5 linked regions of the Callithrix jacchus genome follow. The protein of the gene in region 2 interacts with the protein of the main gene of each other region in a biochemical or structural test. Links are inferred from orthologs where the notes say so. Each region holds a gene or a part of one and is shown on either strand. Other genes may lie near its edges. The genes, in order: UBE2A, RNF20, UBE2B, H2BC21 and WAC.

Evidence for each region.
Region 1: the proteins of RNF20 (region 2) and UBE2A form a complex in vitro, tested with the Homo sapiens proteins (4 studies listed by BioGRID, with this or other methods). The link is inferred for Callithrix jacchus from reciprocal best matches to the Homo sapiens genes RNF20 and UBE2A.
Region 3: the proteins of RNF20 (region 2) and UBE2B form a complex in vitro, tested with the Homo sapiens proteins (4 studies listed by BioGRID, with this or other methods). The link is inferred for Callithrix jacchus from reciprocal best matches to the Homo sapiens genes RNF20 and UBE2B.
Region 4: of the proteins of RNF20 (region 2) and H2BC21, one has a biochemical effect on the other in vitro, tested with the Homo sapiens proteins (3 studies listed by BioGRID). The link is inferred for Callithrix jacchus from reciprocal best matches to the Homo sapiens genes RNF20 and H2BC21.
Region 5: the proteins of RNF20 (region 2) and WAC form a complex in vitro, tested with the Homo sapiens proteins (2 studies listed by BioGRID). The link is inferred for Callithrix jacchus from reciprocal best matches to the Homo sapiens genes RNF20 and WAC.

The regions. Positions count from the first base shown.
Region 1 is NC_133524.1:115,472,112-115,478,450, forward strand, and holds the start of UBE2A (ubiquitin-conjugating enzyme E2 A), read left to right. Parts: upstream 1-2,920; 5' UTR 2,921-3,096; coding exon 3,097-3,140; intron 3,141-3,285; coding exon 3,286-3,366; intron 3,367-3,764; coding exon 3,765-3,790; intron 3,791-6,339. UniProt on the Homo sapiens protein: E2 ubiquitin-conjugating enzyme that accepts ubiquitin from the ubiquitin-activating enzyme E1 and transfers it to a E3 ubiquitin-protein ligase. In vitro catalyzes 'Lys-11', as well as 'Lys-48'-linked polyubiquitination.
Region 2 is NC_133502.1:149,777,315-149,782,905, reverse strand, and holds part of RNF20 (E3 ubiquitin-protein ligase BRE1A), read right to left. Parts: intron 1,432-5,591; coding exon 1,264-1,431; intron 1,149-1,263; coding exon 1,001-1,148; intron 850-1,000; coding exon 667-849; intron 1-666. UniProt on the Homo sapiens protein: Component of the RNF20/40 E3 ubiquitin-protein ligase complex that mediates monoubiquitination of 'Lys-120' of histone H2B (H2BK120ub1).
Region 3 is NC_133503.1:32,757,293-32,763,562, reverse strand, and holds the start of UBE2B (ubiquitin-conjugating enzyme E2 B), read right to left. Parts: upstream 3,702-6,270; 5' UTR 3,582-3,701; coding exon 3,538-3,581; intron 1,449-3,537; coding exon 1,368-1,448; intron 1-1,367. UniProt on the Homo sapiens protein: E2 ubiquitin-conjugating enzyme that accepts ubiquitin from the ubiquitin-activating enzyme E1 and transfers it to a E3 ubiquitin-protein ligase. In vitro catalyzes 'Lys-11'-, as well as 'Lys-48'- and 'Lys-63'-linked polyubiquitination.
Region 4 is NC_133519.1:9,819,017-9,825,193, forward strand, and holds H2BC21 (histone H2B type 2-E), read right to left. Parts: upstream 4,025-6,177; 5' UTR 3,983-4,024; coding exon 3,602-3,982; 3' UTR 1,794-3,601; downstream 1-1,793. Other genes in the region: H2AC20 (histone H2A type 2-C), read left to right, coding at 4,317-4,706; H2AC21 (histone H2A type 2-B), read right to left, coding at 4,863-5,255. UniProt on the Homo sapiens protein: Core component of nucleosome. Nucleosomes wrap and compact DNA into chromatin, limiting DNA accessibility to the cellular machineries which require DNA as a template.
Region 5 is NC_133508.1:28,789,095-28,795,203, reverse strand, and holds the start of WAC (WW domain-containing adapter protein with coiled-coil), read right to left. Parts: upstream 3,375-6,109; coding exon 3,334-3,374; coding exon of another isoform or gene 3,003-3,333; exon of another isoform or gene 2,936-3,002; coding exon 2,900-2,935; coding exon of another isoform or gene 2,899-2,899; exon of another isoform or gene 2,844-2,898; intron 1,401-2,843; coding exon 1,186-1,400; intron 1-1,185. Other genes in the region: uncharacterized protein LOC118143121, read left to right, coding at 3,003-4,064; uncharacterized protein LOC144576520, read left to right, coding at 4,332-4,664.

The sequences.
Region 1 (6,339 bases), on a different chromosome or scaffold from region 2:
TCCAAGGAAGGAAGAAAAAAGCAGGTTTTTCTGAAAGCAGGTTTCAAAAAACAGACAAGTTCATGACAAACTTCCATACATCTATATCCTTCAATACATTTCAGACATGCATATCCAGTAACAGGAGCTTCTCAGACCCTTTCATACTCTCCAGTTTGGTACATGACACTTCTTTTTTTTTTCCTGGAGACAGAGTCTTGCTCTGTAGCCCAGGCTGGAGTGCAGTGGCACGATCTCAGCTCACTGCGACCTCCGCCTCCCGGGTCTTGGTTCAAGCAATTCTCCTGCCTCAGCCTCCCCAGTAGCTGGGATTACAGGCACGCGCCACTATGCCCAGCTAATTTTTGTATTTTTAGTAGATACAAGGTTTCACCATGTTGGCCAGGCTGGTCTTAAACTCCTGACTTCCTAATCCACCCGCCTCTGCCTCCCAAAGTGCTGGAATTACAGGCATGAGCCACCATGCCCGTACAAGCCGCTTCTTCATAGGATATTTTCTTTCTCTTTTGTCTCGTTTTGTTGCCCAGGCTGGAGTGTGGTGGCATGATCTCCACTCACTGCAACCTCCACCTCCTGGATTCAAGTGATTCTCCTGCCTCAGCCTCCAGAGTAGCTGGGATTACAGGCATGTGCCACCACGCCCGGCTAATTTTGTATTTTTAGTAGAGATGGGGTTTCTCCATGTTGGTCAGGGTGGTCTTTATATATATTTTTTATGACAACCTTTAATCCATCTTGAATTAGGCTGGTCTTTAACTCCCAACCTCAGGTGATCCACCTGCCTTGTCCTCTCAAAGTGCTGGGATTACAGGCGTGAGCCACTGCACCTGGCCTCTCCCAGTTATTAAATGAAAAACTAATGTAGATTCTGCAGTGGCAAAATTTAACAGACGTAATTAAGGTTCCAAATTAGATGTTTTTAAGATAGGGAGATTATCCACAGGGTGGGCCTGACATGATCTGATAAGCCTTTAAAGTAGACTGGGCTTTTCCTGAAAACAAGATTCAAAGAAGGAGAAGGATGCGGTGGGAGAGAAATTCTCTGTTGATGACTTTGAAGATGGAGTAGGCCATATGGCAAGGAATGTAGGTGGTCTCTAGGAGCTAAGAGTAGTTCCCAGGTGGCAGCTAGCAAGGAAATAGGGACCAAAGTCTCACAATTGCAATGAACTGGGCTTGGCCAACAACTTGTAATTTGTTAAGCAGTGATGAATACCAATGCATTTGCTTTTGTAGATCTTGCTTTTGTTCATTTCATATGTGTGTATGTGTGTGTTAGTAGACTGCAAGTTCCTAGATGAGAGGAAGAGGATTCTAAAAAAAATGTTTGTACTCCCTTCCTACTACAGCCATAATGTGATGCTATTAGGGCGACTTGACTTAACTGATATGTTGGAGTTAATGGGAGATAAGAAATACTTGACCATGAAAGTACCTGTTGTTAAGCAGCAGCTAGAATCACTACCATTGTCAAGTGCCTCCTGCCTCTCATGTTAGAAACAAACTCCTGCACATCTGATATCTTCTGGACATCTTCACAGGGATGTCTGACCAGTCCCATGAACTCAGTAAGTCCCACTCAAAATTTCCTCTCCCAAACTTGTCCCTCTCTCTCTATTCTGTAATTCTGCTAATGGCACCTTAAGATCCCCAGTTAACTTGGGGTTTAGAGTTTCAGCCACTGTTAACTCCTTCCTCTCTCTCGCCTCCATATTCAACCTGTTGCCAGGTCTTCCCCATTCACTCATATCCTACTCGCCTTTATTGTCACTGCCTGGTTCAGTATCTCACACCTAGAATACTGCAAGAGTCTCCTGCCTGCTCTCTTGAGATCAATTTCTGATAAGCACAGCTCTAATGATGTCACTTCCCTGCTCAATGGACTTCCAAGGAATCCATTAGGTTGGTATTCGAAACTCTTGACGGTTTAACCCAAGCCTACCTTTCTATTTTCAATAATTTTTAAATGTGTATTATGCCTATCTTCTAAGTTATTTTGAGTTGACCTTTAAAAATTCTCCTTTAAAACTGTTATTGCTTTTGCAGGTCCACCTACTGCGACTCTTCCTGCCACCTGCAGCTCTTCTAAGTGCATCTTACCATTCCTTTGACTTCAGACCCACTGTCCCTGCAGTCGGATAGTCTCATACCTTGGATTCTTCTGAACATATAATAGCCGCTTGGCTTGTTGAACTACCAAGGGAAAAATGTGGTTCCAGAGCCAAATTGTGAGTGCCCAAAGCGGAAAAAAAAAAAACCAAAAAACAGAAAACAACCTACTGTGCCTGCCTTAAGCTCCCATTTCATTCTCCTCTGGGGTAATCATTGGCATAAGCGTTGAGCGCCCAAGCCTGCATTTAGTCCCACAGCACCCCCCCAACAGAGTCAACGCCGATTTATTCTTTTGATTTTCCGTGATTTTAACCAATCACCTCCCCTCCCCACCTCTGCCCTCAGTCTCCGACGTCCGCAGGGCTTGGGCGCCCTAGAGTTGCCACTTTTTGAGAACCGGTTTTGCCTCCGCCCACTCCTCCGTCCTCTGGTTTGGGACTTCCAAACTTCTCCTCTCCTCCTCCCGGGGTATGGTGCGCATTTTCGTGAATGATCTGGTCACAAAACAACAACAACAACAACAAAAAGAATAGAGAAAGAAAAATTTAAAAAGCCAAAAACTTCCCAAGGGCTGCCTTAGAATTGGCAGGTAGGAATGGACCCCCGTTCCACCACGAGGTCCTCGAGCGCCCGGGGGTCCCGCGTACCCAGCACCTCTGCCCTCGGCCCCGCCCCGGGCCTCCCGCGGGGCTTTAATGACATAAGCAACTTTCCTCTAGCACCCCCCGCCCCGTCTTGGTACGGCCTGTCCGGCGCTCGACGTTCCACCCCCCCCCTCTCTGCTTTCAGGTTGGTTCATCCCCCGTCTACACTGGGGTGGTGCTTAGCCGGCGCCAGACCGACCCTCGACTTCGGAGAGGTAGCGCGGTACCTTTGGGTGCTTCCGCCTCCCCTTCTCCGGCTTCTTCTGCCTCCTCGGCCTCCTCGCCCGCCGCGGGAACCCGAGACCCTAGTGTATGCCCCACCCCTGACCCGGTTCGCGATATGTCCACCCCGGCTCGCCGGCGCCTCATGCGGGACTTCAAGAGGTAAACTGAGGGGACGGCCGAGGCCGGGGGCTGCGAGCCGGGGCACAGGGCGGGTCCCGAGGCGCGCCGGGCGGGGAGGGCTGGGGAGCAGCCGGGAGCGGGCGCCAGTGACGGCCTAGGGGGACCCTTGTCTGTGTTCCGGAAGGTTACAGGAGGATCCTCCAGCCGGAGTCAGCGGGGCTCCGTCCGAGAACAACATAATGGTGTGGAACGCGGTTATTTTCGGGTGAGTCTGCGTTCGTGGCGGTGGCGAGAGACCTGGGGACGTGAGCCGCCTTGGACTGCTCTCCGAGGCCGGCCCCCCGCGGAGGCCAAGGGGGTCGGGGAGAATGTTTGGGTCTGGCTGGGCCTAGGCGCCTCCCCGGAGCCTGTGCCTCGATTAGCTCAGTTCCCGCTGCTAGGGGGGAATCGCTTGGGGTTCTAGGGGGGCGGGGCGGGGAGTGGTGGCGGTTATAACGGCGCGGCGGCCTGCACTGTGTCTCTGAACCCAGGACATCTATTTGTAGTGGCTTCCGACCCAGGCAGCAGTGCTGGAGATGGCAGGGCTTGGGATAGCCATCTCACATGAAGCAGGGAGAAGGGGGCCCCTTAAGCGGGAACTGACCATTTTTCTCTGTGTTGCAGGCCTGAAGGGACCCCATTTGAGGATGGTAAGAGAGTTTTTCTTTACCCACTTTTCAGGAGCCTGATCACCTGGGGAAAGGGTTCCCAGTCATCCTGAAGTGTCTCCTACTTAGGAACCTGCCTCTGCCTAGCCTCTATCTGCTAAAGGCTTGAGTGGAGTGCAGTGTGTGGCTGTTCTGGATATTGTATGCTTGACTAGAACTGCACCTTTCTTCTTGCTTTCTTTTTAAAATAGTCTGGGTAAGGCAGTCACTTTTTAAAAGGAGCAATCATAGCACTGGTATTAAGGATTTTTGAAGCTTGGGCTGTGATTCTGCTAAATTCAGCCCTACATCGCTGAATTAGTATAAACCCAACCAGTTGCTGACAGTCAGCAGAGACCCCAAAGACTGTCTGGTTCAGAATTCTACCCCATGGGCAGGAATTGTGTTTAGCAGGGGCTTGATAGGTGTGTGTTGGATGTTGAATCCCTTACATACAACTGTCTGGTTTCTACAATCTGACATTGAATGCCTATCAGCCTCACTGCTCTAAGATGGTCTTTATGCCTTAGTTGAATATAGTATTCTTTCTTATTTGTCTTTTTTTTTTTTTTTTTTGAGACAGAGTCTTGCTCTGTTGCCCAGGCTGGAGTGCAATGGCACGATCTCAGCTCACTGTAACCTCCGCCTCCCGGGTTAAAGCAATTCTCCTGCCTCAGGCTCCTGAGTAGCTGGGATTACAGTCCCACACCACCACGCCCAGCTAATTTTTGTACTTTTAGTAGAGACAGGGTTTCACCATGTTGGTCATGCTGACCTTGTGATCTGCCCGCCTTGGCCTCCCAAAGTGCTGGCATTACAGAGGTGCGCCACTGCGCCTGGCCATTCTTTCTTATTTTTAAATGAATATACAGTGTGTGTTTTCATCAAGACATTATGGTCAGTAATTTCAAAGCAGCTTCACAATTGAAGTTCGCCTTAATGTACCCTTTTGATCAGTGTCCAGCCTACTTGAAGATACTGCATGTACCAGTAGCTACATAATTTGTAACTGATTTAGGTTTGTCTTTTAAAAACACATATGTAAATTGCTTTTTAAAAACCTTATGGGTTTAGATAATTATAGATTCATGTGCAGTTGCAAGAAATAATAGAGACACCCTTTATACACTTAACTCAGTCCTCTCCCCAAACCCTCTCGTTTGGTAACATCTTGAATGACTATACCCTATCACAACCAGGAAAATGACATTGATTGTTCTATACTCAGGTGTGTGTGTATGGTGTGGTGTGTGTGTGTGTGTGTGTGGTTATTTTTTCAAAGTTTCATACATTTAAATGATGATTAAAGTATTGGAACTCATGAAATTCTTTAATATTTGAGGTGTTTAAAAAAAAGGAAAAGGGTCTGTTTTTTCCTCAATGATTTATCTTCCTTCGATCACATAGCATTTACACACACACACACACACATGCTTCAGTTTGAAGATGGGAACAAAAACATTTATGCAAACTACTTAATACATACTTATGTTGCTGAGACGGATTGCATTTTGATGCCACCAGTCTGCAAAATGTTGTGAGGTAAGTCAATATAAACTAAGTCTATAATTCATCTCAAATACTTAGATTTCCCCAGGAAACTGTGGACAATCACCTGAATATTTTCAACTTCCTCTCTGCCTTTACCTGCTGGGTAAATATCTTTGCTCGTCAGGGATGCAATGAAAAGAAATGATAGCAGGAGACAGTGATTGTAAGGGCATACTACTTTGGCTTAGTTAATAATTTGAACTGATCTGTAGCAAGAAAACTATAGCTAGACCTAATTTTCCTCTACCAGATTGGCACTAGTTCTTTATTCCTGAGCTTTAAATGTACAGATTAACTGTGTATTTGCTTTAGCTCTAGAAGGCTTTGTTTTCTTGTTTTCTTTCTTTTGAGACAGGTCTTTTTCTATCACCCAGGATAGAGTGCAGGCGTGCGATCTCAGCTCACTGCAACCTCTGCCTCCTGGGTTGAAGCGATTCTCCTGCCTCAGCCTGAGTAGCTGGGATTACAGGCACATGCCACTACACCTGGCTAATTTTTGTATTTTTAATAGAGACGGGGTTTTACCATGTCGTTCAGGCTGGTCTCGAACTCCTGACCTCATGGTCTGCCTGCCTGGGCTTCCCAAAGTGCTGGGATTACAGGCGTGAGCCACCATTCCCGGCCTCAGCTTTGTTTTCATTGGCTTCTTTTTTCCTCATTTACTCTGTTTTATACTGGGCACAGCTTTATTAATAGTACATCACTTTGTTGGCGGTTGGCTACCTAGGTATTTCAACGGTGCTTCTCTTAAGTGGTATGAATTGAGGAGGTACTTACTGAATCCATTATCTGCCAGGACTGTCGGCTTTGACATTACTGACTATTTTTGATGACGTGTATCTCCATCCCAGCATTACTGACTCAGGCTGGCTTATTTGTTCTGTTGAACAGTCTGCTACCCATGGATGCTTCCTCAGGTGTTTGGAACACTGTGGCTCCCCAAAACTATTTTTTAAACCTTTTTTTTTTTGAGATGGAGTTTTGCTCTTCTCACCCAGGCT
Region 2 (5,591 bases):
CGACACCACGCCCAGCTAATTTTTGTATTTTTAGTAGAGGCAGGGTTTAACCATGTAGACCAGGATGGTCTCGATCTCTTGACCTGGTGGTCCACCCGCCTTGGCCTCCCAAAGTGCTGGGATTATAGACGTGAGCCACCACGCTTGGCTCCTCCATTTATTAAAGGACTATCATGTAGCTCAAAATGAAAAGCATTGATAAAAGATTAATATGCCATAGTGAAGACACTACCAGTAATATTGAAGGTTAGAATTTTAAGAAATATAATTAAAAATAAATAGGTAGCCCAGGCACAGTGGTTCATGCTTGTAATCCCAACATTTTGGGAGGCCAGGAGCGAGGGTCTCTTAAGGCCAATTTGAGAACAGCCTGAGCAACATAGCAAGACTTCCCCTCTAAAAGAAAATTAAAATATTAGCCAGCTGTGGTAGTACATGCCTATAGTCCTAGCTACTCGGAAGCTGAGGCAGAAAGAATGCTTGAGTTCAAGGATGCAATGGACTATGATGGTGCCACTGTGCTCCAGCCTGGGTGACAGAGTGAAACCTTATCTCTTAAAAAATAAATAAAAAATAAATATGTAAGTTTGCAAACTACAAATTAGCATGCAAAAATGAGTTCTTATTCCTCCTCCACTACTCCCAGCCTCCAGGTTCTTGCCTCACCTCCACTGTTTAGCTTCTGGGATAAGAGCTCCACTTTTTCTTGCAATTTATCATAGACAGTCACAATCTGGGACACGGCTCGGCGGGAAGACTCCACACGTTCCTGCAGCTGAGACTCCATCTCTTCACTAGAACTGCTGGCCAAAGTAGCAAGGAAAGAGAAAGCTGGCTCTTGCCCTTCCCCTGAGGACACAGGGGAAAAAAAAGAAGCCCCCCCAAAAATTAAAACTGGATATAACAAAATCCATTGTTTTTCCTCAAATGAAAAGCAAGCAAAGCAATACTTCAAATATCCAGATAGCATGCAGTGATAGAATCCATCACAAATACTTGCCTCTCTCTCGGTCATCTTTACGTTCCTGATTGCTATCAGAGTCTGGTTCTGGCTCAGGCACAACAAGGGCTTTTCTTTCTGTGAGTAGGTCCCCCAAGCCCTGCTCCAGATCATAACGTTTAAGGATGATACGGATGTTTTCATCAAACTGGAGAAGAGGTAAGTACAATTATGAAGAAACAAAGGACCCAACTTTGGAAATGAATAGTAAGGAGAATTAAATTCGTCAAATAAAAATCTGAGCAAATAAACAAGTTAGCTACCTGACTCCAGTATCGGTTGACAATCAATAGAGAGGCATCATCAGTGGCCTGTCGTCGTTCCAGTTTTTCAATGTGCTCACGAAGCTCATCTTCAATGGCCTGCCGCTGATCCAACATTTCTGCCAGCTTGCGGTTTTTGGTTTGCAGTGTTCGAATATCTAGCTCCTCCTGCCCAGTAAACCAATCTTATTAGTCTCCACAAAGAAATTAGAAAAATGAGCTGTTAACAAGGTCACAATAATTCATTAGTTATTTCCTATGAATGAAGTTATTGACTTTTTAAAAATCTTACAAGTAATTAAATAAGAGGTAGAAGCAGAAGAGATAACAGGTATATGATGATGTGAGGAAAGAATAACACACACAAATAAACCAAAATCTCAACCACACCCATCTCGCTGTTCCAGTCACATCAACATCTACAAAGCAATGCTACTTTAAGGCTAGAGTACCCAGCTAGAGCACTCTCTACTCCAATCAATACTGTCATCTATCTCCTAAGCACTGCACTTCATTCACTAAAGACTTCAGCACCTGGGTTCTTGTCTATACCAGTTCCTGCCAATATATCTGGTGACTTCAACATACTTGTGGACAAACCATCTAAACCCCTAGCACCTAGGCTGTCAGTATTTCCAATTCCTTCACTCCAATGATTATCTCCTCCACTGTGCTTCAGCCATGCATTTCAAAAGCCACATCTTGGACTTCTGTCATTATCTGGAACTGTACTAAACTGTACTAAATCTAAAATCTTAAATTCCAACTTCCCATTCCCTGAATAACACCACATCTTTCAGGTATCTCAAGCCCTTAACCCAATATACCAATCCCTTTACCTCATTTAGATCTCCAGAATGTTAAGTTCTTTTCTTTCTCCTTTTCGATCCCCTTCTATCTCCACTACCTTCCACATTTTAATTATATGCTATAGAGTACATTCCTTCAAACACCTGCCTAACAGCTCCCTCAGTTCTCCGACTTTAATCCTTTTATTCTACCTTCGTGAACAAACCCCAGTCTGAATTAATCCAGATATCTGACTATTTCATTCCTGTACCCAGTATGCTGAGACTTCTAGAGAAATTCATCAAACTACAGAAACCAGTGCCTTTACAAAATGAATTCTGAACCTAAACAGATCTTATCATGTGTCCAGAAATGTTTCTTTATCAAGTGAGCTCTCTCCCATTCTCCATAAAGGCAGCATCAACCTCTACCAAACCCTGCCCCCTTTTATATCATACTAAACAGATGGCTTTATTTCTTATTTTTATGAGAAAATAGAAGGCATCAGAGAGGAAACGCCTCAATTCCCCATCTCTTTGACCCAGTCACATAATTATGCACACATTCTTAAAACTCGGCTTGTGCTCAGAATCCTGTTCTCTTCTGTCTCTACAAAACCCTCACTCCATTAGTAATTTCACATTCCTCTCAATATTTTTCTCTCTCCAGCTTCTTCCCTATGACAAACCAGGGAGGCTTCGGCGGGAGGTGGGATGAGGGAATATAACAAGCAAAGAACCAGCATGTGAAAAAACATTCTTACTTTCCTGAGGAATTAATAAAATCAGTATTTTAAAGTAAGAATTGTTTATTACAGCACCAATTTTTGTTTCATTTTTCTCTTTTCCCTTTAGTTAAAACATTCCTAATATAACTAAGTAGTCAACAGTTTTCCCCACTGTACCACTTTATTAACACTACTAATAAACTCTATCTTCAAACTCTTCTCTAAACATTGCCTTTCCCTTCTTGCTCTACCTGAAACCTGGATGAGAATGCTGTTTCCCTGCAGGCTTCCAGTGGTGGCTGTTTCTCTTCTACACCCCTTGAAGCCCTGGAGAGATGAATATCTTCTTGTTTTCCATTGCCACTTCCAGGCGATTATCCCACCTTCCTCCCTAAAACCTGCCTCTGCAGTTCACGCCATTAGCCCATACCACCTGCCACCATGCTCTGTTGAATTCATCTATAAATGCCTACCTCGTTTCCTCACATTTCTCAAGATTTAGCACCTAGCTTATTATCACTCTCCAATACTTTTCCTGTCATCATTCTTTACAACTTCAACACCCATTCAGATAATCTTTCCTATACTTGGATCATCAAGTCATTGACCTCCTCTCCACCAATGATCTTGTCCTCTGCCTCCTTCAGTCACCAACTCCCACATTAAGTCTTACTTGTACCTACATGTCCTCTATAAGCTCAATTTCAAACATGTCATTCTTCACAACTACCACTATTTTTCCAGTTCACTCTCTCCAGTTTCCTTACTCCTAAAATCCTTCAGTCTCTCCAGGATCTACAATCCACTGGTCCTATACCTTTCACTTCTCTCACTTCCTTCTGTACTGAACTTAAATTCCATGATCAGTCACTATATACTCATCTACTTTACAGTAACACTCCTTTAAAGTATTGTCTCTACTCTCTTTTCCCTAATTCCTCTCCTCTCATATTCTCTTAAGCTCACTGAAAACAGGTTGCCATCCCCACTAATCCACAAACGTAGGTGTTGTGGTATCTCCAATGAACTCTGTATTATTAAATACAACATCTCAGTCCTCTCTTTACTCTCTGTTCCAACTGAAACCTGAATGAGAACACACCTGCACCACCTGATCAACTCCTTGAAATACTTTCTTCAGTGGGCTCCTGGGAACCCAGCCTCTCTTACCTCATTGTCCCGCATTGTTTGTATCTTTGATTAGTCCTTTATCATCTCCTTGACATGAAAATATTACAGTGCTCCAGCAGACCTCTTTATTTATGCTTATTCCTTAAAAGAGTCTGTAGTCTCAAACATTTAAACACAACTTACAAAATGATGATTCCCAAATGTATGGCTTTAGCCCAGACCTCTGTCCAGCATCCAATTTATTAACTACCTATCCACTCAGGGATCAGATAGATATCTCACACTTGTATGCCCCAAACCAAACCAAATTCAATTCATCCTCCATGACTCCCAAAAATCTGCTCCTCTCTGGCTAAGTAGAAACTCCAATACTTTCAAAATCCTGGGGTGATCCTCCCTCCTGTCTTTCATGTGAGTTATCCAATCCATCAGCAGATCTTATCAATGCCACCTCCACAGTGGTCCAAGCCACCATGATCTCTCATTAAGATTAATGCAAAGGCCTCCTACAGCAAACACTCTGTGCTAAGTCCTGTCAGCCTGACACATTTCAGCATAGCTGTGGTGGACAGCTCCATTTACACTGCTAGTGTTCCCACTTGAATTACCCTTGGGAGACTCAGTTTTCCTGACCCACAATCACAGCTGGCACATAACAGCAATCTCAAAATGCACAGGAGGCACTGCTTTCAAAGGCAACCTTCAACCAACTGGAGCAGGGATCAATGGATACATGCCTCAGATCCCCACATTTGGAGAGATGGAGTTGTAGGGAAAAGGGAATAAAAAGGAATGAAGAAACAACTCTGCTAACTGGACTCTTGTTTTATAACCCTTGCTCTTCTATAGTCTCTAAACATAAATGAGAGCATGTTACTCCCCCTACTTAAGACCATCCAATGGCTTCTCATTGCCTTCTGGATAAAGTCCAAACGCGGGTGTGTGCTATGTGCTTTCCCTAAGTATGTGCTTGTCCCTATGAACAACACATATCCCACTCTAAATAGTCTATTCCCTTGTCAGTGCTACCCTACAAACTAAAGTCTAGGGGCTGTCTTCAGTGTAAAGCACAGTGTCCGGAAAATAACGAATACTCAACAAATATTTATATACTGAGTGAATAAATGCCTTTGGAATGCATGATGTAAGGCAGTGCTAAGACAAAACCACCTCCTGTTGGCAACATTAAGTACCAGAACCCAAGCAGCCTCAGAAATAACACATCATCAACAACTTACTATGAATGTTCCTATTATTCTGACTCGAAAAAAAAAAAAATCAAACTCTCTTAAAATAAACCTTAGCCTCAAAATCAAGTAACTAATAGACGTAGTTTTGTAAGCCATACAAATGCAAAGCATTTTAACATCACATCCCCATGGCTGAGTTTCAAAAAAGTAAAATCTTGACCTAGATCAAAACCTGTAAACTTCTGATGTCTAACAGATATATAACATTACTATGAGATTTTGGTACATAATACTCATTTTGTCAGCTCCATTAGAGCAAGGATAGTATGTACGTTATGCACCATTATATTATCTAGCCCAATATTAGCTACAAATGGCTCACATTTATTGACTATTTACTATGTTAAATGCAAAGTGTTAGCCCTTAACAGGGACTCTCATTTTATCTGCATAAAGATCTAACATAGCAGGTACTTTGATTACATTTACAG
Region 3 (6,270 bases), on a different chromosome or scaffold from region 2:
TCTGACCTCAGGTGATCCACACGCCTCAGCCTCCCAAAGTGCTGGGATTTCAGGCGTGAGCCACCATGCCTGGCCACATATGTATATTCTTAAGAGAAAAAGTCATCTTTTTCATTTAACAGCAATAAGATGGAAAGCAATAGTCTTTAGTTATGATGCTAAACCCAAGTGTCCTGCTTTCCAACAGATGCATAACGTTTGTTCAAATAGGCTAAGCATAGCTGCTGTCACCAAAAAGCCAGATTCTCTTGTTCAGATCCTTGCCACCACATCCCAATTTCATACTTCCTAAGCAGCAGCACAAGGTTTAATTATTACTTGCAAGGCATATTCAGGATCTCAAAGTAGCCAGATAATACCCTGAATATAACAGAAGTGCTTTATGAGGGTGAACCTCACTCATTTTCCACTAGTCTTTAAATGTAGACTCTTGTAGCTGAACTGGAGTATCAGAATTCTGTTTATCAACATATTCCTTTTACTTTTTAATGCATATCTCGAGTTTCAAAGGAATGAAAGAAAAAACAGATCAAGTCTAGAAAAACCAAAGAAAAAGCATAAGGAAAATTTAAATTAAAAAGCATATATGCAACATATATAGTACGTAAAATTTACAACTCCTCAAATGGCTGCATTCTGCTACTTCACACCGGGCTGTGAATCCTTTTCACTTAAATACTTGCCACAGTAGAAGTTCTTAATATTTTTGGTTCCAAATCTTGTAATAGCTCCAACAGAATTAAAGCATTTGCATGGTATATTTTATACAAAATAATTTATATTTTCTCCTTTATTATTCCATTCCATATAGTTTTGAATAGTATTTTAAAGTAAAACCTGAAGTGATTATAAAACCCTATAATAAAAGAGCAAATAAATTGTATATAACTGCTGAAATTTTTTTCCTTTTTTTTTTGAAACATAAGGGTCTTGGTTCTGCTGCCCAGGCTGGAGTGCAGTGGCATAATCATGGCACTCAAATTCCTGGGCTCAAGTGATCCTCCTGCCTCAGCCTTCCAAGTAGCTGGGACCACAGGTGTGCACCACTATGCCCAGCTAGTTTTATACTTTTTGTAGAGATGAGGTCTCACTATGTTGCCCAGGCTGGGCCAAAACTCCTTTTTTTGGGGGGCAGGGAGAGAGAGACTCACTGTTTCATTATATTGCTCAGGCTGGTGATGAACTCCTGGGTTCAAGCGATCCTCCTAGGCATGAGCTAAAATTCTAATTAAAAAAATTTTTTTCTAATTTATCTTGTAGTTTTAGTCCTGAAGATCTCTCAATCCACCCCAGTTTCTTTTCCTAGGCAGTTGTTATATATTCACTTAAAGATTCAACACACACCTATTATAAACCTTTCAACTCACCCAAATATAACTGCATTCCACTGCATGATGTTGTTTTCAGATGGTGCACCACTGACACCCACAGGTGGGTCCTCTTGTAACCTAGAAATCCGGAGTGGTAATTTAAAAAGTTGAACATTAAGGCCACTAAGGAGGCCACATAAACACCTACAGACACTATACCATCTATTGTGACACAGGGACTAACTCCATTTCCTTGTTACTGTGAACTAAAATGAACCCTATGACTTAAATATATTAACCAGGTATATACACTTATTAAATACCTCTCCAAATTATCTAAAAATGTAAAAGGCTTGAGAATCATCCCTTTTTCAATATTATCAAGATTATTATCTCTTCAAGAATTGATGCATACAGACTGTCCTCTTAAACCAAAAAAAAGTTTAAAAACTCAAAAGCAAATAATATTTTTACAGAACCATCGATTTTGCTGCTCTAACCATCCAAAGACTGTGTGTCTTAACCACAGGTACTTCTGCAAAATGGCTAAAAAAAGAAAAGCAAACCTCAGTGTAAACACTAATGACTGAAAACACGTTAATTACAAAACTAGTATTAGGCAGATTTACTTTATCCCTTTTGCTTCAAACGGCAATGGCTTTAAAAAGTAATCAGTAGGTTTTCTGCCAGTCCCTATTTTAAGGCTCTGCACTAACACCAAATCTACCTCTCAGATCAGGAGACTCAATACAAGGCTTTCCAACATTCCTCAAATTCTTATAACCTGCAGACCTTTGGAAAACTTCAAAAGGTGTCATATACTCAACTCAGAATTAAGCAGAGCATTACAGTAAGGAGCCAGGGAGACAATGACGTGAACTAAATTGCTATTTGAATTTTAGTCACAAGTGCCAAGCAAATACACTAATTTCAAGCTTTAGAAAGATAACTTTTGCACAAAAAAGGGCATCTCCTTTCAGAGACTGTAGTGTCAATTAAAAATGCTACATTATACACACAAATACATATGCAGTCGTTTTCATGGGGCATCACACTTTGCAACTAGTCCACATTAAAAAAAAAAAAGGTTTTTAGTCAATTTCAAGCAAATTAGGCCGCCACGAACAGAAGCCTCACAAGAACTGCACTGCTTGACGCCTACCTTTAAATGGCTAAGAGAAGCTACCAATGAATTAAATAAGTTGGCCAAAGCCCAAAACAATGGATGGCTTCCAAATGCTTCACATAGGCTTTATAATGGCTGAGTTGAGAGGCGACTTCCTGAGCGACAAATCTAAGTTTTTAGGCCAGATATTTTGTCTCAATTAGGGCAGGTATCCCCAAAAAAAATTTTAAGAAAAACGTGCAGAGTTATCAAAATGCTGTTTTCTCACATGTTTTTCTATGTCTCTAAGTATCCAATTAAAGGCAAACGACGGACTAATCATTCTCTTTCTCACAACCCCAATACCTCCTAACAGTTAAAACCCTATTTATTTACCAAAGGAGGCCCAGGGAGTATCAAATTAGCGCCCGTCTAAGGGAAGGCATTTTTCCAGACTCGGGAGGCTATAGATAGGGCTTTCTTCACCAGCCAGAGCTGAGTTCCAGAAGGCACTGGCAGCCGGGGTGGCCAGCTCTGAGGTCCCAGATCTCTAAGTCGGTTCCCAAGGTCCTTTCAGGCGGGCGGGGACAGAGTCGGGTTTCGGGGGATGGGTTAAGCTCCGGGCCTCACGCACTGGACCCCACCCTCACGGTAGAAATGGAAAGGACCGGGGCGTGGTGCGGGGGGTTTCGCCCCAACCCGGCTCCTCGGAGAAGACGGCGGGGCAGTGAAACAAAGCTGACCGGTGCAGCCGGCGAGGAACAAACTCCCGCAGGAGCTTACTTTAAGAGGACAAGAAGGGGGCGCCGCAGGGTGCAGGGGCGGGTGGAGGAAATCTGATCGCCGGGCAGCTGGCCGAAAAGGGCAGCAGGGAACCCTAGGCCAGTCGATCGACACCGTTTTACTTTTTGGGGGTAGGAGGAGTATCGAAATTTATTCGGCCGCCAAAACGAGAGGCAAGGATAAGGTAGTGGAAGCCGAGGCTAGGACCCGGCTTCTGCCAGTTCTGCTGGGCCCACAGCCGGCCCTCGGAGGGTCACAAGGGGAAGGTGTCCGGGATCCCCACCCTGCAGCCCCGCAGCTTTGAGGGGCCGTCATCTAGGCGGACGTGAAGGCCCTTACCGCTTGAAATCCCGCATGAGCCTTCTCCGGGCCGGGGTCGACATGCTCCCCAGCTGCCCCGCGGTCAGTCTGAAAGAAAAGAGTCCCGCGCAGCCCCCCCACCCCCCGGCGCGGCGGCCAAATCACTGTGGGTAGCTGCCGCTGCTGCCGTCGCCGAGACTGACAAACAACCCTGCAATGACGTCTCCCTCCGCCGCCTCCGGATCCCTCCGCCCTCCGGATCCCTCCGCCCTCCGCCGCTACCACGGAAGAGCGTTGGGGGAGGAGGGGGCGGGACGCTGGAGCGCGCGTTCTCCGAGCCCTTCTGCGGGGCTGGGTTCAGCCTGGGCTTCCTGAAATGATCGGCAAGTTTGTGTACTCTGTGCTTACACTAGAGGTTGTGGATTCAGAGACCACGGAACCGAAACACTATCTGTCCCCCTCCCCGTCATTAGTTTAGACTCGGCGGGGTGGAGAGAGGGGGGACTCATCCGGGCCAGAGATTTCAGGGAAAGGAGGTGGGATGACGTAAGATCACGTGACTGACCGTGGCCTTGTCAACAATCCACCCCTGAGGGGGAGGGGGAGAAGTATCTAGAACCACGTGTCCCTATGACGCCTTTAGAATGGGTCACGTGAAAGCCTCGCCTCTATGTGAGTTTCAGCCAGCTCTATGAAGCTGGTTCAAGGGAGATTACACCTTTATTAGTTGTTTCCTGTTTATTACAGGTTAGAGACATCATTACCCAAGAGATCATGGCAGAATCAACAGCTTGTTTTGTTTTGTTTTGTTTTGTTTTTTTTTTTGAGGGTTTTAAAATTATTTATTTATTTTACATTTTGTAGAGGCAGGGTCTCTCAAAGTGCTGGGATTACAGGCATGAGTCACGTTTTGTTTTCTTTAAACCGGGACCAAAAATAATTCCCCTCTGGTTGGTTCAGTGGCTTATCAACTCTGCTATTGGGGCAAGAAGGGTATTGCACGATCTTCTAAGGCAGCATTGAATGTTGAGGCCCACACAACAATATCCTGCAATGCTTCCTTGAAGCTACCAAATAGTCTTTCAGCTTTGCAGTGGGGTTTCTAGTATTGAAAATTTTGGGCAAACATTAAAGGATGGTGTATTATGCAGTTTTTCCTTTCTGGGTCTGCTTTCATTTGAAGATATGTGTCAGAGTCCGGGACTTGCCTATAGGGGGTTGTACCATTGTATATTTTTAAGGAATGTGGGGTTGCAGACTTCCAGGCTTATCAATGAGTGGTTGGTTGTCAAAGAAACCTACAAATATGATTTATACCTGGGGGAGAGCTCCTGTAGATATGAGTGAGGGTTATAAATCTAGCCTGAAGGCCCGGTGCGATGGCTCACGCCTATAGTCCCAGCACTTTGGGAGGCTGAGGCGAGTGGATCACGAGGTCAAGAGATCGAGACCATCCTGGTCAACAAGGTGAAACACCGTCTCTACTAAAAATACAAAAATTAGCTGGGCATGGTGGCGTGCGCCTGTAGTCCCAGCTACTCGGGAGGCTGAGGCAGAATTGCTTGAACCCAGGAGGTGGAGGCTGCAGTGAGCCGAGACTGCGCCGTTGCACTCCAGCCTGGGTAACAAGAACAAAACTCTGTCTCAAAACAAAACAAAACAAAAAAATAAATCTAGCCTGAGATAACTTTAGGTTTTCTACACTAGCAAGTAAAGTGCAAATGGGCCAGAAGTGCCCCCCCATCACCAGGGGGGTTCAAAAGTGTTGATCTCCCACAGACCTTGAATATTTTCTGTAGTTACTGTCCTTCCCTCTATTGCTTCCAGTTCCTACCCTCAGGACTTTGTTATACTAAGGACTCTGAGTACTGAGGAATCCTTCAGCTCAACAGGGAAAGGGAAGGTGGAATGAAGACCTTAGCATTGCCTCAACCTTGCCCATAGTTCCATGGAAGCAGAGTTAACTTTTCCGACTTTCCTTGCATCTTCCTCTTTAAACCCTGAATTCTCTCTCTGCTTCCAGTGACTGCCTCGGTAATCGAGTTAGGCAGGCCTAACTCTTGATAGGTCCTGTTAAACATTTCACAATGTGTTTTCTAAGTCAAAAGCTGAATATTCTTAATTTTTTTGCCTTTCTGCCATTGCAGTCCTAACCCTTCCGATAACAAAAGAGAAAGATACACATGTAAGGTTACATGGAGAAAAATGGTCAAGAGAAACTGTATCTTAAAAATATTCGGCATGAGCTGAGACATAAGCTCATGCCTGTAATCCTAATACTTTGGGAGGCCATAAGTTTGAGACCAGCCTGTGCAAAACAGGAGATCCTGTCTCTGCAAAAAGTAAAATTAGCTAGGCGTGGTGACATACACCAGTAGTCCCAGCAACCTGGGAGGCTGAGGCAGAAGGATCGCTTGAGCCGAGGAAGTTGAAGCTGCAGTGAACCATCATCGTGCCACTGAGACCTTGACAAAAAAAAACAAAAACAAAAACAAAAACACCTTATAATTTACCAGTTAAGGCAGTCACTGAAAGCAGAAACAATTCAGGGTTTGCAGAAAGGGAGGTACAAGGAAAGTGGAAAAAGTTAACCTTTTCTGGTTCCATGGAACTATGGGCAAGATTAGGAAAATGGTGAGGTCTTCCTCCCTCCCTCCCTTTCCCTGTTGAGCTGAAGAATTTCCTAAATGGATACAAATGTGCTCAGAATCCTCTTGACTGACCAACGAAATACTGAAGATGGGAACTGGAGGCAACAGAGATAAGGAATTC
Region 4 (6,177 bases), on a different chromosome or scaffold from region 2:
GCGCCAAGGACTCGAGACAGCTAGTTGACTCGCCCCAGTTTGGCTGCTGGACCTGTCTGCATTTCCCCACCTCGAGGGCTGTCGAGTGAGACAAAGGGCCGCGAGCTGAGTCACTAAAAGCAACAACAGAATGCAAAGCAAAGGCCTGCAGTTTATGAGGACATTATGCTGTCTGCTTCCATGTCCCCCTTCAGTCTCTGTGTAAGCAATAAACTTGCTGCAATTGAGATGCCTAAGAGGAGCAGAGACCTCTGCCCATATTTTCCCTGGAGCCAAGCCTTTGTTTTAGCTCCTGGTGAAAAACAGGTTTAACCAGCCACCTTAAGGGCGCCATTGTATCTTTGAAATGTAAAATCTTTGAAATGTAAACTACTACCACTAGCCCCCTTAAACTGCCTTCTGTGTGGATATCACAAGCCCCTGATAACTATTTTTTATGGAGTTTCTATTTCCTTTCTGTTTACCCCTTCTTTTTTCTTTCTACTGGGATAAAGTAAATGTAAACAAGAAAAAAGGTACAAAAGCTGTAACCCACAAGAATAAATTTGCTGCGTTTTGACCATAATCTTCACGCAGCCCTCCAGACTCCACTTTTCTCTATTCTTTCTCTTCCGCGCACTCTCTCTCTCAGGTTGAACGAGACATCTACGTTGGCAGTCTCGGGGACTCCCGCAGGTCGGTAGTCCCCCGGCAGACGTGCCGGACCCCGACAACAATTATTGTTATTAACCCCAACATAAGCAAATGTTTAAAGATGCCCAGCAGAAATGATCGAAGAGGTTCTTGAGGATTAATCTCACCATCACTAATTACTTCCCCTCCAGAGTTAAAATATCAAACTCTAGCACCTGTTCCCCACTTTCCCATTCTATAACTTCCTTCCCAGTGAGTATCATGCCCAGGAGGAGCCCAAAACCAGCAACTAAGGCTCTCTCATGTTAGTCAAAGGATTCCAGCTGGTGAGCCCCACCACTGTGGGGACAAACTCAGTTGAGTTGAGCTATGTCCTCTGGGATGGAGGATCACAGCCACATTATCCCACTCTCAAGGTGCTCAGCCACCACCACCCAGGATTTATATCCAGGGTGCACTCTGAAGAGAATAAAGCCAGTGATATTTCTTTTCAATTCTAACGCATAGGGTCCAGGTTTTCAGAATGACCCTATTTCTCAATTCCCTTAACTGCTAACCTAGGAGCTAATTCTCTGGAGAATTTCTGAAAAAAGGCTTCTCGGTGCCTCAGTTTCCTGATCTGTAAAGTGAGTGATAATAATGGCACTACTTCCTGAGGCCCTGGTGAGAATTAAATGTGTCAATATGTATAAAGGACCTAGAACACTGCCTGATACATAGTAAGTGCTCCATAGGTGTTAGCTTAACTTTATTATGAACTTTATTTCTTCAATCTTATTTGTACTGCTTTCTATTTGTGATCATATATTTTTCAATTACTCAGCATTAACAGTGACCTTTTTTTAAAAAAATTTTTTAATAGAGACAGGTTTTCATCATGTTAGGCTGGTCTCGAACTCCTGACCTTGTGATACGCCTGCCTTGGCCTCCCAAAGTCCTGGGTTATAGACATGAGCCACCGCACCCAGCCAACAGTGACCTTCTAACAGACTATTTAAGCCCCAATGCACCTTTGGGGCAGCAGTTTGGCTGGTGGCTTATAAACAAGTCATCCCCCAGCTCAGAGGCTCCCAAGCTTTTCTACAGAACCAGTGGAAGTTGTATCTGTTAATCTCATTCATTGAGAAAATATACTGTAGATAAAATAATTCAGCAAAGACTTTAAATTAACTGGCAACTTTATTAATAATAACATCTACACACATTTGAAAACACACATGTAGGAGACAATTAAGATTTATTCAGTCTGTGATAATATCTAGAGCTCATTTGGATTCATCAAACCCCTGCAATCAACTCCCAAAGCCCTTAGCTAAAAGTAGAGTTGAATCACTCATCAAACCATCAGTGTGTTCCTCGGCAGAATCAAGGGTTTGACAGAAAGAGTAAATATTCTGCACTTCCACAAAATAAAACTAAAATGCAATTGTCCTGCATCTGAGAATACAAAGGTGGGCAGTATGAACTGCATGACCATGGACCAATCAGGCTTCTCTTGGCCTCATTTGTTTAAAAAAAAAAAGAGAGAGAGATTAACTTTGTAGTCCTGCCCATCTTGAATGGCCGCCTGAAAACCAAACCAGGTGGTGAGTGCAAATTAAAAGCTCCTCTCCTTTAAGAAGGGAACACCAAGACAGGAGTAGAAAAGAAGGAAAAAGGCTCTTTCCCATGACCAATACGCTGAATTTGATGAAAATCCAAAGGAGGTTAGGCTAAACCGGGAAGCACAAAGGTGGAACTACCATTGCCACCTCCTCTTTGATGCAAAAGAATCTTAACACGGCCCCCTCCCAGCTGTTGCACTGAAGTGACTAAGGATACATTTGAGGGAATAACTTCAAAAACATTTCCATTTTCACCGCGCCTTCACGTACATCTAATGGAAATGAACAGCACCCATCATCCATCCACAGAAGCGATTAAAAAACAAGTGGGATGGAAAAATTAACCCAACAATATTACTTCAATCCGTAGTATTGAAGTAAGTGTCCATAATGTGCCAGACTGACTGGCTGAAGAGGCACGGGAAAACCAGACCATCCGGTCTGTCAAGGGCTTGAGAATGCCATGAAGAAAACAGACGAGCCAATTTCAGACAGCTGCTACGAGGAAGATAAAACGAGACCGGGAACTATGAGAGGCGCGAATTCCTGAGTGGATGACGTAGAAGGTCTCTGAGAGGTGACTTTTGAGCTCATATCTACATGGTGTCTTGCAGTGACCCGGGGCCGTAGCGTTACCATTTTAAAGCAGACACCATTAAAAGCAAAAATTATCCACAAACCGAGAAGTAGGAATCTCAAAGTGAACCACGGAAACTGAAATCTACAAATTAGAAAGCGGCGCAGAATTTCGAATAGTCATGTCGCCCAATCAGGAAAAGGCTGGGACCCGGCTGCGCGGGCTTCGTCCAAAGTACACAGAACGGCTGGCATCCACAGGAGGCCCCATCCCAGGGCAAAACTGGTGACCGGACACAAAAGCTGCTGCGAAGCGTCAGTCATACAGCGCTGTCACGCAGTTTGCGGCACCCGGACTGAATTGTGTCCCAGAGTTCTCTTAAGTAACAGCCGGACTCAGCCACTTGGTTTTGAAATGATGAAACAGACCCAACGAAGCCACCAGGGCGCCAGTGTAAGGCGGGGGTGGGGGCGGGCAGAGTCGGATTCCCAACACCCTAAATGAGAACGGACTCCTGGGAAAGCTAAGCAGCACAATGAATAACGACACGCTCTAGATTCAAAAGCAAATCCAATCATGCACTGGGGACCTCGAGTTCCAAATGATTAAGCTACGTGTGCTATTTCCCATGACTTATGCTAAAACAACTTACTTTGTGAGAAAAAACTAAGGGAGTAAGTGAACAAGCTCTTTTCTAGTGATTAGGTGGGTGGCTCTGAAAAGAGCCTTTGGACTCAAGCAGCCGGCGACTCGAGCGAGCGAGCGAGCGCCAGGTCCCGGCAGGGACTCACTTGGAGCTGGTGTACTTGGTGACCGCCTTGGTGCCCTCGGACACGGCGTGCTTGGCCAGCTCGCCGGGCAGCAGCAGGCGCACGGCCGTCTGGATCTCGCGGGACGTGATGGTGGAGCGCTTGTTGTAGTGAGCCAGGCGGGACGCCTCCCCCGCAATGCGCTCGAAGATGTCGTTGACGAAGGAGTTCATGATACCCATGGCCTTGGACGAGATGCCGGTGTCGGGGTGGACCTGTTTCAGCACCTTGTACACGTAGATGGAGTAGCTCTCCTTGCGGCTGCGCTTGCGCTTCTTGCCGTCCTTCTTCTGGGCTTTAGTGACGGCTTTCTTAGAGCCCTTCTTAGGAGCAGGAGCGGATTTTGCCGGTTCAGGCATGGTAAGACACAGTACCAACGCGACTTAGCCAAGAAAAGAAGTAAGAGAATGGGCGGACCTGATCCTTTTATAACCATCTTATGCAAATTAAGGCTCCGAAACTAATTCACTTCCATTGGTCCGTGTGTGGACCTTGCGTTTTCAGCAACGTCTACGTAGCGATACCGACTCTTGACTTGATTGGCCGGCTCTGAAGCCAAATTAGGACCAATGAAAAACTCGTCCTTGACCCCACCCCTAAGAAAGCTTATAAAGGCTTTCTTCTTGGTGATCTTTCAATCTTATTTTGTTGCGTGGTTCTGAGCTTTGTCTGCGTTTAGCCTTGGTTTTAATCATGTCTGGCCGTGGCAAGCAAGGAGGCAAGGCCCGCGCCAAGGCCAAGTCGCGCTCGTCCCGCGCTGGCCTGCAGTTCCCGGTAGGGCGAGTGCACCGCCTGCTGCGCAAAGGCAACTACGCGGAGCGGGTGGGGGCCGGCGCGCCCGTCTACATGGCGGCGGTCCTGGAGTACCTGACCGCCGAGATCCTGGAGCTGGCGGGTAACGCGGCTCGGGACAACAAGAAGACGCGCATCATCCCCCGTCACCTCCAGCTGGCCATCCGCAACGACGAGGAGCTGAACAAGCTGCTGGGCAAAGTCACCATCGCCCAGGGCGGCGTGTTGCCCAACATCCAGGCCGTTCTGTTACCAAAGAAAACCGAAAGCCACAAAGCCAAAAGCAAATAAATGCAGACAAACCAAAGACCAAAGGCTCTTTTTAGAGCCACCCAAGTTTTCAAAAAAAGAGCTAATGCGCTGTTTCGTTACCAGCCCTTCATTTGACACTTTGGTGGCTCTTAAAAGAGCCTTTGGGGTGAATGGGTATGGTGTCAAGCCTATTTATTACTTGCTCTTGCCAGGCTTGTGACTCTCCGTTTTCTTGGGCAACAGGACAGCCTGGATATTGGGCAAGACGCCGCCCTGGGCAATGGTGACACCCCCCAGTAACTTGTTGAGCTCTTCGTCATTCCTCACAGCTAGCTGCAGATGGCGAGGGATGATGCGCGTCTTCTTGTTGTCCCGAGCCGCGTTGCCCGCCAGCTCCAGAATTTCCGCGGTCAGGTACTCGAGGACCGCTGCCAGGTACACTGGGGCGCCGGCCCCCACCCGCTCCGCGTAGTTGCCTTTGCGCAGCAAGCGGTGCACTCGCCCCACCGGGAACTGGAGGCCAGCGCGGGACGAGCGCGACTTGGCCTTGGCGCGGGCCTTGCCCCCCTGCTTTCCGCGTCCCGACATTACGGCTAAAATTGCAGTCACAGCTTCTTTTTCAAGGAGAAGAATGTGGAAGGGATAACCAATTTGATGTAATTTATAAGAGCCACCGGGAGGGGTGAAGGGAAGTCGTTTGATTGGCTGAAAGCGGAGCCGTATCCAACAGCCAATAGGAAAGCAGAAAGCCGCCTCCCGGTTTGCATCCTGCGCCGAAAGGAAATGACGGATTTTGTCAGTACCTACCAATCACTGAGAGCCACATTAAAGCCCCTTATTTGCATGCCAGGACCTTTAAAGAGAGTAGGCTTTCAAATAGAACGCTGGTTCTTTTTTACCGAGTGGCACTGTGGGTTTGGTTTTGTTTGTCCCCCGTTTACAGTCGGCAAATCCCAGGATGGACCCCCCCAAGGGTCTGCAGAAGACTTCCACGGACGGAGAGTTACTCTCACGCAAGAATAGGATTCTGAAGCTGATTATATCCCGAGCTATGAAGTACCAAGTCCCGCCCTTTCTGTCTCGTCACAGCCAAATTCTCTTTAAAAACACGGGTACTATTAAGGCTGCCTCCATTCTCGGCCTTCTGTGTAGCCGCCGGCAGCGGCCTTTCTCAGCTCCACCCCCACACGCCTGCCCTCCTCGGAAGGTGGTTTGACCGAAGTTACAATAGATTTGCCATCCTCCCCTTGACCTCCAGGAGGCGGCCCTGAAACTTGCTCCCTTGGCTTTCAAAATGTCGCCCTCCGTTTTTCTTACCTCGCTGACTTTTCTTACCCTGCTAACCATTCCACTGCCCATCTCTAAATCTGCGAGTCCAGCTGGACTCGGCATCCCTATCTCCAATTTTATCCCAGAGTCTTACCCATTTCTATACTTGCAACTAACATTCAAATTTGTTTCAGAAGCTCAGACCCCCTTATACCTAACTACTTACTGAACACGTCAACCT
Region 5 (6,109 bases), on a different chromosome or scaffold from region 2:
ATTGAGAAACTAGTTGCCAATAGGGGCAAAAAGCCACACAGTACTTTATTGAGTTTCTTTGGAAGCTTTAATATGGTAAATCTGCTTAACATATGTTATCTCCTTAAGCAATATGTTACAGTATGAGAAAATACAGACGTCTTTAATTACGTTATTGAAACTGGATGCTTCTGACTTGAAATGTAATTTGGGCAAATTAAGTCTGGAAGTAGTTACTGAGTTGGTTTTGTTTACTTATTCTCAGCCTCCTACCACAAAGAGCTTGACACAAACTTATAATTGAAGGTACAGCATTGTGCAAAAGAAATCACATTAACTTTCAAAAAGAATAGTTCAATGAATAAGGTATAAAAATCACATCACCAAAACTGGAGAATACTGAAAATAAAATGTTTACAACAAAAAGCAAGAATGTATTCTCTAAGTCACAAATAATTTTTTAAATCTGGGAACTATCCTGTAAAAGCATACTATCATTGTAATGAGAAGAGATCTGAACACCTTAAAAAGTAAACTGAAGCAACAATAAGGATCTCAAAATAAATTGAAATCTTTACTTAAAAAGGGGAAAGTTCCTTTATCGGAAAAAATGTCCTGCATTTTCCCCATCCTTAAGAAAGCATGTTTCAAACTATACTTATAAATTCATTTCCTTATTATCAGACACTAAAGTCCACTTTTTATTTTTTTGTTATGGAGTCTCGCTCTGTCGCCCAGGCTAGAGCACAGTGGAACCACCTCAGGCTCACTGCGCCCTCCACCTCCCAGGTTCAAGTGATTCTCTTACCTCAGCCTCCTGAGTAGCTGGGACTACAGGTGCCTGCCACCCCAAGCCTAGTTAACTTTTGTATTTTTAATAGAGACAAGTTTCACCTGTTGGCCAAGCTGGTCTCGAACTTCTGACCTCAAGTGATCTGCCCCCACCTCGGCCTCCCAAGTGCTGAGATTACAGGCATGAGCCACCATGCCTGGCCTTAGTTTCCACTTTTTAGATGCTCACATCAGCATCTTATGTCTACAGTAACTTGTTTAGAGTAAAGGGAAAGAAAAAAAAACTGATAGTAGTAAAATATTTTAATGACATAACCACACAGTAATTTCAAGCTTGAAATACTACTGCTGCGTGTTTTATATACAGCTACTATGAAACATATATGTCAAAGTTTCAACAAGAAAGCTACTCACCACCATCCCTCTCTCTAACTCTGTGAGTATGCACATTTTTGGCCTTACTGTGACCTGTGCTGTCACTGTATTTGTTTTCAGGACTATCAGATCTCCGCAACATTTTATTTGGTGGTGAAGGATCTGCGGCGTCTCGCATCTTTTCATGTCTGTGATCACCGCTACTGGGGTGACTCTTTGATGAATACTTAAGTGCCTGTAAAACATCACCCCCCCAAAAGAGAGAGAGAAAGAATTGAAACCTTAAACTTAACTCCAGAAACTAATTTAAACAAATTTTGGTGTATTAACGTCATCAAATTTTATGAACTTAAATTTCCACTTTGAATTCTGCTCTATTCTTCAAAGTTTCTCAGACAAAACCTAATGCTTAAGTGTTACAGTAACACTCCTGGTACAAATCATAATACTAAATGAAAAAAAAAAAAGAATCACTCCATTATCTTGTAACTAAATCAAACCACCTTGGCACACTGATTCTGAAAAAAAAAAAAATTCTGGGAATATTTAAAATCACTTTGAAAGTTTACTCAGAGGAAAACTAGAAATTCAGTACCACTGCAATCAATTTCTGCTATACAACTGATATGCACAAGCATATGAATAAGCACACGCGTATTTTTGCAAACCTACCAAAAAAAAAAAAACCCACACACCAGTTTCTCCAATTCTATGATTCAAATAAAGCATTTCAGACCTAACTTCCCTACTCTTACAGGTGTGGGAAACAATTTTAAGGTATAAAAATATTGACCAATACACTAAGGTGAATACTATTTCTAAACAAGCATAATGCACTCAAAATAATAGTTTAGCTTTATTCCAACATATCTTAAAACCACCATGATGTACTAGTCTGTTACAATGTGTAATTAGTTATGCTTTGGAGGACAGATTCAATAAGGTTTAATTTTTGACATATCCAATGTTTTACACATCAGAGAACAGTGTTTTCAAATTCCGCTGTATAACAACACAGGAATCAGGTTAGAAACCTGCTCTCTGATCTTTTAAAATCTAGAAAGGATTTCCGTAGTCATCTGATGATTACCAATCATTTATATTTCCCTTCTGAAAACTGGGGCCACTTCTATCATAATCCTTAGAACTTTACAAGCAGGGACTGCAGTAACAAAAAGGAACCCGCCTACCTAGAACCACCTACATCAGAATGAATTATCCAAGTACCAAAAGATCTCAATTCTTACAGAAACAAAAGCACACATCTTTTACTTGTACAGCAATTAAGTATACCAAAAATATTAAAAGGGGAAATAGCACTTTTTACCGACTTAAAAGTTGTAAGTCATTTAGCTATTTATCCCAGGTCCTTCACTTAATTTTAATGCCTTTACATTAACTTCCAGTTCCCCAACACAATAAATAAATAATTAAGCCTCGGAAGTCACCTATCATCTCATCCCTTCGATTCCTTCACCCGCAAATAATCGAGTCAGGTCTTCCTGGCTGCAAATGATTCTTTTTTTCCTAAATCAGCGAACTTCCTCCAGTCACCTGTCAAAATAAGTCACTAAACCTTGCTGGAGAGGGCCAAAAGCACCAAACCCCGAATTTTAAGGGGACCCGCGGTGCTGGTTTCCGATGTGTTACACCGAAGGGCCTGTAGCGACTTCTGAGGCCTGCGCTCGAGTAGCAGTCCCTCCCTTCCCCCTTCGGCCCCTTCCAAACCCTCCACCCGGCCTCGGCTAGTACCTGGTAAGGCTGCGAGTCCCCCCTCCGGTCGTGACAGCTGAAAAACAGGAAGAGAAAGCAAAGACATAAGACAAGGCGTGGGTGGGGGGCCAGGGAGGAAGAAAATGGGTCCCCAATCGCCCCTCCCCGCGGGAGACCTACCCAGCGCCCCGGCGCCGAGCCCAGCGCGCACAAGGCGCAAACCCCGAGCCTCCGGGAGGGCCGGGGAGGGCGAAACGCCGCGCAGCCGGGCCCCCGCTCCCCGCCACAGTCCGTCCCTGCCAGCCCGCCCGCGCGGCCGCTCCTCCTCCCCAATCCGATCCGGATCAGGGTTAACAACAAAAATGGCGGCCCGGCCAGCTCTAGATAAGAAGGAACAGCCCCCCCGCCGCCGCCGCCGCCGCCGCCGCCGCCCCCCGCCGCCGCCGCCCGGCCCGAAACGAAAAGACAATTTACCCATCACTGAGTCTCTGCTGTTTCCTCGCATACATTACCATCAATGCCCGGCCTGTGAGTGTGTGTCGGGGAGGGGGGAGAGCGGCCGCGAGAGGCGGGCGGGCGGGCGAGCAGGCGGCGGCGGGCGGCGGGCAGCCCCGGCACCTGGGCCCGGCGCGCCCTCGGCGACTCTCAGCACCTCCCAGTTACTGGCGCCGGCGCTCCCGGGCCATCTCCCTCCGTCGACACCACGCTCACTCTCAGCCGGGGAAGCGGCGCCAACTACACGGCGGCAGCGCGAACCGGGGGGAGGGGGGCAAGAAGATGCGTCCGGCTCAGCCCCGCGGAGAGCGACTGCCTCCTCCGCCTTCTCCTCCTCCTGCTCCGCCGCCTCCTCCCCTCCTCCCCCCGCCGCCGCCGCCGCTGCTGCCGCCGCCTGGTCCTTCTCCTCCTCCTCCTCCACCTCCTCCCGCCGCCGCTGGTGCCGCCGCCGCCGCTCCACCAACTACATCCGGGCAACTCGGACGCTGCCGCCTTCGGGAAACCTCGGCAGTTTCCGACGTGCCCCTCCTCTCCCACCCTCGGCCTTCCTCTCCTCCCCGCCCCGCGCGGGTCCGGAACGCCGCCCTCGGCAAACCTCGGTTGGCCCCGGCCTCTTTCCTCCTCTGAGGCCTGGCTCTCCTCCTCGCGACCTGTCAGCCCTTTACTTCTTTTCCTCACTCGCGAGTCCGGCCACCGCCGTTTCCGTTTAGGGATAGTCTCGCTCGGGCACCCGCTCGAGGCTGGTCCCAGAGGCTCCGGGCTGCGCGGGGAGGGAGCCGCCTTCCGGAAGAGGACGGTGGGGCGCGAGGGAAGCCATCGCGGACTTAATAAGGGAGGCTGCGGCGGCTGCGCGTGCGCTCAGAGGCGCCGCGGGAGGGGGTACCCTCGGGCGAGCTCTCCGGCCGCGGCCCCCGCCCCTATGGGCTCGGGCGGGGAGGTCGGAAACCCCCTGGCGAGACCAGGGGCGGACGCTTCCGATGAGCTGCCTGGTAGGCAGTCGCGAAAGCTACCCTCTGGGTAGCTGGGAGCGTACTCCAGCGCCTTCGGGCCGCTGCTGGAAGCCGGAACCGAGCCCGGGCCGCTGCCCCTCACCGGTCGCCGCGGGCGCCACGGGCCCTCCGTGGCGCAGGGGCTGCAGCAAGCTCGCCGGGCGTCCTTTAGACGTAAGTCTCACCCTGCGCCCCGGAGGGGGAAGGAGCACATGCTGGCCCGGGGAGAAACGGCCGAGAGGAGGAGCTGAGGGGTGCTGTGCCCGAGGCGGAAGGCGGTGCACCACGGCGGCCCTCAGCGGAGATGCCTGCACGGAGCGGGTAACACCATTCGGGGCAGGGAATGAAAGCGGTGCTTGATAGTGGAAATTTAGGGAGATGGGTCCCTTGGAAACAGCCCTGAACTGTCTCACTGCCCCACCTCCCCTCCCTTTTTTTGAGACAGGGTCTCGCTCTGTCGTCCAGGCTGAGTGCAGTGGCGCGATCACGGCTCACTGCGCCTCGACCTCAACGGATCCTTCCACCTCATCCTCCTGAGTAGCTGGGACCACAGGCATGTACCACCACGCCCGGCTAATTTTTTAAAGTTTTCCTGGAGATAGGTTCTCACTATGTTATTCAGGCTGGTCTTGAACCCCTGGCCTGAAGCGATCCTCCCGCCTCGGCCTCCCAAAGTGCTGGGATTACAGGCGTGAGCCACGGCGCCCGGCTTCTCACCCCTTTTTAACGTTTTGCATACCCAGCTGTGCCCCGCCCACCCTCTATTTATCTCTCACTTTTTCCCCCTTCTGATTCTTCGCTGAAGTCCGCGAAAGGAAATACATGTTGAGGTTCTGGATGTGAATAAAGGCTTGCGGTGTGTTAGGTGAAATTGCTACAAATGAGATTTTATGTACTGTTGCAGCCACATTGGGAGGAGAAACGTCAAGTATACCAACAACCATTAGTTGAGAGTGGTGGTATCCGGTGATTGGTTGATTTTTTTTTTTTTCTTAAACTGGAAGGAACAGTAGTTAAAAGAATTGTAGTCAGAGTAAATATGTGATTAATACAGAAGAGGCAAAATGGTAAACAAGTTAGAAGAAAAAAGACACCCACCCCCAAAAAACAACGAAAAGTAACTGATTTATTTGGTATCCAAGAAGTTACATTATTGCTAGACCTAATAGATGAAGAGAGGGAATGATGTTGGGAGAAAGGCCTTGAAATCACAAATGGGTAGAAAAAAAGTTTTAATTACGTAAGCTTATTTGTCACATCACCTGTCAAACATAAAACTTATTGCTGTTTGTGGGGATGGGAAGACCAATAAAAAGCCTATTTAATGCTCACTTAAACTATCAGTAACTTTAAAAAAAAATTCCCAGTGGCTGAAATTATCGAAAAAAAAATCGGTGCATCTTACGTGCAATTTCTGACACGTTTGTAGTGAATCCATTGAAGACAAATATCAGGAGTACAACAAATAACAAACGTTACATGGAAACTTGTTTGAAAACTGGCAGCAAAATTACTACTAATTTGTTTGATGACTGGGTGTCTGCTGAAATTGATATAAAACCGTTTGCTCAAAAGTAGCGAGGCATGGTGTTGCATGCCTGTAGTCCTAGCTACTCCAGAGGCTAAGGCTGAACAATTTCTTCAGTCCAGGAGTTCGAGACTCAGTGAGTTGTGATCACACCTCTATACTCCAACTTGGGTTACAGAGGGAGACCCTGTCCCAAAAAATAAATAAACCACGTTACCAAAAGTAGCAAACTGGAGGA